Saccharomyces cerevisiae S288C: one gene and its partner. The gene in region 2 interacts genetically with the main gene of each other region. Each region holds a gene or a part of one and is shown on either strand. Other genes may lie near its edges.

The links. A genetic interaction does not mean that the proteins touch.
Region 1: mutations in DFG5 (region 2) and ANP1 together harm fitness less than expected from each alone (positive genetic interaction), as found in Saccharomyces cerevisiae (2 studies listed by BioGRID).

What each region holds. Positions count from the first base shown.
Region 1 is NC_001137.3:82,506-86,169, reverse strand, and holds ANP1 (Anp1p), read left to right. Parts: upstream 1-1,617; coding exon 1,618-3,120; downstream 3,121-3,664. Other genes in the region: HYP2 (translation elongation factor eIF-5A), read right to left, coding at 21-494; UTR5 (Utr5p), read left to right, coding at 625-1,125; RAD23 (Rad23p), read left to right, coding at 3,567-3,664. UniProt on the Saccharomyces cerevisiae protein: Involved in the organization of the secretory pathway. Required to maintain a functional Golgi apparatus.
Region 2 is NC_001145.3:744,346-748,103, reverse strand, and holds DFG5 (putative mannan endo-1,6-alpha-mannosidase), read right to left. Parts: upstream 1,752-3,758; coding exon 375-1,751; downstream 1-374. Other genes in the region: BCH1 (exomer complex subunit), read right to left, coding at 2,181-3,758. UniProt on the Saccharomyces cerevisiae protein: Required for normal synthesis of the cell wall.

The DNA of each region.
Region 1 (3,664 bases), on a different chromosome or scaffold from region 2:
ATGCCATGATGTTAACCGGTTTAATCGGTTCTAGCAGCTTCCTTGAAGGAGATGGCGGCTTCTTCACCCATAGCGGAGATGATGGTAACCATCAAGTCCTTACCTTCATCAAAAGCAGTTTGCAAACTGTCACCCAATTCACCTTCTGGAGCCTTGACATCATCCTTAGTGTCACCGTCCATGTTCATCAAAGACAAGAAACCGTCATCAATGTCCAACAATTGGTATTCGTTTCTCTTGACAACTGGAACTTCCATGTTGTGAGTAGATGGAGACAAATCTTCCAACTTCTTACCAGTGAAGATATCAATGGCAACCAAATGGACTTTAGCGTGACCGTGCTTACCAGTCTTAGAAGTGGACATGTCGACAATCTTACATGGTCTACTCTTGATGACAACGAAACCGTTCTTTCTCAAGGCAGAACATTGCATTGGGTAGGTGGCGGAGGAACCAGCGTCAGCAGTTTCAAAGGTATGTTCTTCGTCAGACATTGTATATATGAGTTGGTATTTGTGTGTGTTTGGGAGTCTATGAGTAATTGGCTACAGAAGTAGAATCGTTAGAAAGAAGGAAAGGAAGCAATTGATAGAAGGAGAGGAATTTAGGAAATGAGGGATTCCAATGTCAAGATATGGCAAAAACCTTGTGCATTATATAATCGTGGAACACGACGATCAACGCGGCCAAAAGCCGATCGACGACGACGACGAAAAAAATTTTTATTACCACTGTTCCTTCACCTTCGAAACTTTTTTTCGGGCGACGGCGTTTCTTTTAGCTCCTGCGGTATGTGCGGTGCGGGAGGTCCCTTGTCGCCTCACACGGACCCGATATAACGCTACGGAATACATCGAGGGGTATGGGTGGATGATATCACTGCAGCAAGGTCTGGGTGTTGCAGAATTTTACCGGCCTTGGCCCCTCAGCGTCCAGCTACAGCGTTATACTACTCCAAGTCGCCGTTCCCGTTTTGCTGTTCTCACCCCTCAGAGAAAATGCCACCAGAACGAAGCCAATGGTCAGGACTTATCGTTACTTATACTGTTGAGCCGGATATATCCGCTGTGCTCTAATACCAGCCAAACGAGAAGGGTAGCGGCAAGAAAGGGTAAACTTTCATGATGAAGTTAGCTAGTTCCTTTTACGATTGCTACTATCTCGTTCAACTTGGCCTGCGCTGTTGATGAAAATAGCAGTGACTGCAGAGAATAGAAATGAACCGGGCTCATCTGGTCTAGTTGCCTTCTTTTTTTTATTTTTTTTCATTTTCCTTTTCTTTTCTTTTCTTTTCTTGTCTCACTATGTTGGTTTAATCAATTCGTAATCCCTTTACCAACGCATTGTGTTCAATTTTCCTCTTGTGTGGGGTCGCCCGCCTTGTCTCATCGTGAAAAAATTGCGTAAGATGAAATCATGAAAACATGAAATAAAAAAAATAAATAAAAATAACTACACGATTCAAAAACGCCAAGATCTGTTAGTAGAGACAGCAAGCATTGCAAAACCATTCATCACTCAGTTGCTAGGCGAGTGTTGGTGCGATTTACCCTCATCATCTTTTTTTCGCTCCATTAAACAGTTCCTTGTGGCTTTCATGCAAAGTGTACGTCCATAATGAAGTATAATAACAGAAAACTCTCGTTCAACCCTACCACAGTAAGTATCGCTGGAACGTTGCTTACGGTGTTCTTTCTCACAAGACTCGTGCTTTCGTTCTTCTCGATATCGCTATTCCAGCTGGTAACTTTCCAAGGAATCTTCAAGCCCTATGTTCCAGATTTTAAAAATACTCCCAGCGTAGAGTTCTACGACCTACGAAATTACCAAGGCAACAAAGATGGTTGGCAACAGGGTGACCGCATCTTGTTTTGCGTGCCACTGAGAGATGCTTCTGAGCATCTTCCCATGTTTTTTAACCATCTGAATACCATGACATATCCGCACAACCTGATTGATCTGTCGTTTTTGGTGAGTGACTCTTCGGATAACACCATGGGCGTGTTACTATCCAATCTACAGATGGCGCAATCGCAACAAGACAAGTCCAAAAGGTTTGGTAACATCGAAATCTATGAGAAGGACTTCGGCCAAATCATTGGTCAGTCCTTTTCTGATCGTCACGGGTTTGGCGCCCAGGGCCCCAGAAGAAAGCTGATGGCCAGGGCTCGTAATTGGCTTGGGTCCGTGGCCCTGAAACCATACCACTCCTGGGTTTACTGGAGAGACGTGGATGTCGAAACCATCCCCACTACCATCATGGAGGATCTAATGCATCACGACAAGGACGTCATTGTCCCCAACGTCTGGAGACCTTTACCAGACTGGCTGGGAAACATTCAACCCTACGATTTAAATTCATGGAAGGAATCAGAAGGGGGTCTTCAATTGGCGGATTCCCTAGACGAAGATGCTGTCATTGTGGAAGGGTACCCAGAGTACGCCACTTGGAGACCTCACCTGGCATACATGAGAGACCCAAACGGTAATCCAGAAGACGAAATGGAATTGGACGGTATTGGAGGGGTCTCGATTCTCGCGAAAGCTAAAGTATTCAGAACAGGCTCACACTTTCCTGCATTCTCCTTTGAAAAGCACGCAGAGACAGAAGCATTCGGTAGGCTCTCCCGCAGGATGAATTACAATGTCATCGGCTTGCCCCATTATGTCATCTGGCACATCTACGAACCTTCCAGCGACGACTTAAAGCACATGGCTTGGATGGCTGAAGAGGAGAAGCGGAAACTAGAAGAAGAGAGAATTCGCGAATTTTACAACAAGATCTGGGAGATTGGATTTGAAGATGTCAGAGACCAATGGAACGAAGAAAGAGATTCAATCTTAAAAAACATTGACTCCACTTTGAACAATAAAGTCACTGTAGACTGGTCTGAAGAGGGAGATGGCTCGGAGCTGGTGGACTCAAAGGGTGACTTTGTCTCACCAAACAACCAACAACAACAACAACAGCAACAACAACAACAACAGCAGCAGCAGCAACAGCAACAGCAACAACAGCTCGACGGCAACCCGCAGGGGAAACCTCTTGATGACAACGACAAGAACAAGAAAAAACATCCTAAAGAAGTTCCATTAGACTTCGACCCTGATAGAAACTAGGCTCGGTTTTTTAGTGACCTACATATGAAGTACGAATTCATATAGTTGTACATATATACCGATAATAATATCAAACCTCTATTCTTTGGTCTTTAACTTTTCTTTGAGTGAATTACAATACCATTGTTATATCAATCACTATACACGGCTCGGTGGCGAAATTGAAATTTTTTTATTTTCTTCTCTTTCATTATGGCTAGGCAAGAAATAGCGACAGCAAAACTTAAGAAAAAATGATAGAACAAGGTCCCATCCAGTATTGACTAGTAGCTAAAGCTAGAAGGTACACTTAGGTTTTTCTCCCTGTTTTTAAGTTTGAACCATTGATAAGGCCGTTCGCAGACAAGCTTGCTACCATCCAATTTTCCTTCCTCTAAAGACTTAATAAAGGCATCTAACTCCACCTTTAAATCACAGATCACACAAAGACAACATACAATAGAAAAATGGTTAGCTTAACCTTTAAAAATTTCAAGAAGGAAAAAGTTCCTTTAGATCTGGAACCTTCAAACACAATTTTAGAGACCAAGACCAAGCTTGCTCA
Region 2 (3,758 bases):
TTGGTCAAAGCTATAAAATTATGTATGTACTAGAAGTTCTCCTCGAGGGTATAGAAATCCTTAAAATGGAATCGGTATCTTACCATAAATGTTCCACTAGAATGTCATCAGATGAAAAAGACGAAAGAAACATATGACTAGCTCGCGTGGCGTAATGGCAACGCGTCTGACTTCTAATCAGAAGATTATGGGTTCGACCCCCATCGTGAGTGTTTTTTAGTATTTTTTTTAAAAACAATTGTTCCTCTCTAAATTTTAATCAGTTTTTGATCATGAAGGGTTTTGTATGTAGCACATAAACATTTTTACTGAAAGAAAAGGATAGCCTAAATATTAGAATACAATAAAATTTTTTTGAGCCTAGTTTGACACATTTAAAACAGCATCCACACAGCCCCACCAGTTAGCACACTCAGTATGACTGCTGTGATGATAGCGGCACCAGCGCGATCACCTTTCTTAATGTTTAAATTGTTTTGTAGCACGTTAGTGGTCGATGAGTTCATACCGGCATTCGCGTCACCTTTTGACGTACCGCCATTATCTTCCTTATATGGAGCTGGCCTGTCATGAATTAAAAGATTTTGAATAACTTCTAGAGCACTCATTTGCTCACCTAATCCATAGTAGCCATCATTGGTTTGTTTCTGCCAATTTAAACCACATGTATGCCCATCTGTACCACCATTACATGATTTTGCAGCGGCCTCAGCACTTGTTTTTATCAAATCATCAATTGTGTCCCTAGTAAAGGGAGCCATGACACTTGTAAGACCAAGCATACGAGAAAAAATACTTTTGAATGTTCTTTGATCGGTGTTACAGGTGCCATAGTCTTGACAAGCGCTTTCGTACATAATACTATCTTTGAAGAAATAAGATTTAGCACCATTTAGAATTTTTGTCAAACTGGTCTCCCATTCACCTGTTCCATTTGTAGCATTATACATGTATGCAAGACCACCAAGCACGATACCGTGATTATAAGTCCATTCAATTTTTGTAATATCAGTGCAATTTGTATCAATTTCAGCACCATCAAAGACATTTGCAGTATCGTTAAGAACCACATACCCGACATCCACTAGCCAGTCGAAAACCTGTTCAGCAACCTCCAAATATGTAGTGTTACCAGTATATCTGCCCAACCTCGCCGCAATCTGGAACAAACATGCATTTGAAACTGTATTTTTATAATTATAACCACTATTCCAAGTGAAAATTTGCCATCTCAGACCACCGCCACAGTGCTCTGAATCCCATCTTGAGTACATGGTGTTGAAAACAGCTTGTACCATTGCCAACCAACCTGGCTTGCCGTCACCGGGGTCTGTAAAATTTCTCTCGACAGCACCCATAACAGTAATACCCCAAATACCTTGGTCATCATTCCCCTCAACCATCGTTTGGTTGGACGGGATATAATCGTAATTGGAACCAGTTTGCGCTAATAGTGCATCGTATAGTAATTCTTGATATGTATCATTCTCACAAAGAAACCAATTTTCCAACATGCCACCAAATGCTTCCCCTGCATGCCACCAATAGTATGGTGACTGAAACATCCCAACGGTACCACCGTATCTAGTACCCTCATAGTAATCCAGCATACCACCTTGAATTAACGCTGTCGCATCACAAATTGACGTTTTGCTAGTAGTATCCAAATCCATGGCATGAGTGGCTTTAAAAAATGACAGAAACGTAAAGCATATCGATAAGATCATCTTCGCACTAATATTGACGATCATATCTGCGTTCTGGATATGATTTCGTTCTAATTTGTTCGTCCTATATAACAACCAAAAATTAATAAAGGTGATTCAAAATGAGATAAAGGACAATGTACACAGTCAATTACTTAATTAGATATTTGAGTAAAGCTGATCTTTTGGAGAAATGGGCTTTTCATTAATTTACATTCTATTTTTGGGTTATACTCAGTTTCGCTTTACGCGGATTACATTGTTTTTTTTTCGGGCGTGGCTCAGATTGTGAAAAAGAAATTAAACAATTTAAGATTACGGTTATCGCATTAGAGGCAGAATAACTTGAAAATGGGAAATTCCCCAAGAAGGTGACCTATACATGACAATGCCAGGATATCATACATAAAATACATAACCCGTTTCTTGTTAATTGATTTCTTTCACCTTTTTATTGATTGTATTCATCTTTTTCTAATTATCGAAAGTGTCATTCGTGAAATTCTTCAGAAAATTTAGAATGTTATCGTCAATCAATTGGGCTACTGGGTCAGAAAATCTAGAGGCAATTTCATTATGTACTTTAGTAATGCCCATATCTTGTACTGCAACACTCAGAGCATCTATTAATATTATTGAGAACTCGATGTACCAACGATGATTCCAGCAACAAATCTTGACTACTAGATCGATGATTGAGCTGTCGATGTCATTGATACTTGACAATATTTGAGAAGAGGTTAACTCGGAGTTTGCTGAGACTGAATCCCTCCTAATACGCTTATGCTCGTCAATGTAAAACTGTAATAGATTCTTTGCGCATACTGGAGAAAATCTTTGGGAAAGCCCAATTTGGAAAGCCTTCGCAGCTTCTGGAAGATGTCCCAGTCTTTTCGCACAAAGGCCGAATAATTCCCATTCAACAGTTAATTTGTGATATTTACTGTTTTGAGCATCAAAATACAATTGCTCTGATTGCCAATCGGTGTAAGTTTTCAAATCTTCGTATAGTAACATGAAGAGATTATCCAACCATCTTTCGCATAGCCTCTTTGATCTCATTTTGGATATATCATTACCGCGAACTTCTGCTTCATCAATGGAAGAAGTGGAGCCTTGGTACTCGTCTTCCATAACGAAAATTTTTGATCTATATTTCAACAGCTGCTCCCATCCTGTTATTTGGACAATTTCTGTCAATAATTTATAGGCTAGTTGGAAAGTAGACTTTAAACTTGACGCAGAGAGATTGACTAGGTTTGGATCTGCGGACTTTTGCTCCAACTGGACATCCATGGGGTTCAATGACGAAATCTCCTCAATTGAGGCATCCAATGGTAATGGCAGATGAAGATTTTCATCTGAAGTAATAGGCGCAATTCTTCTAAGAACGTATTTTTCCTTAACCTGTGACATGGGGCAGGCGTTTAACGATAGCAAGGCATTTGACATATCGTTTAGTTTAATGTATATTCTAGTCAATAAATACCAAGTTTTAAATTCGTTTGGTGCACAGTTAACAGCCTCCATGGCTACTTCCTTAGCAAGCTTGTAATCTCTCTTGACATCCAGTAAGAATTCACTTTGAATACTTAATAATTCGGATTTGAAGATTAGCTGGATATGGCTAGTCTTTGAATCGTCGGCTAAGAACGAAGAGGGGGAATTTAGTTGCTCGTTGATCAGGTCAACTGCATCTATCTCTAAATCGCACGCAAAATAAACACGAATTAATATTATTACTGCTTCTGGATGAATTTCTATTAACTTCTTGAGCATTTTACGACATGCTTCCAAACTCTTAGTTAACCTAACTATTTCCACTAAAGTTTCCACTAAATAATTATTGGTTAACGAGGGATTTAAAACGTGAGTAGGTGCATCTAAATAAACACCTTTTTCATAGACCAAGGGGAACAGTTTAATAAAGTTATTGGCAACATCTTCCAACTCACCCGAGGTAAATGGATTGAAAATTAGTGTTTCTACCAAATTCTGGGATTCTCCATCCGCACGATTATCTTTCATAATCATAATGTCACGTACAATACC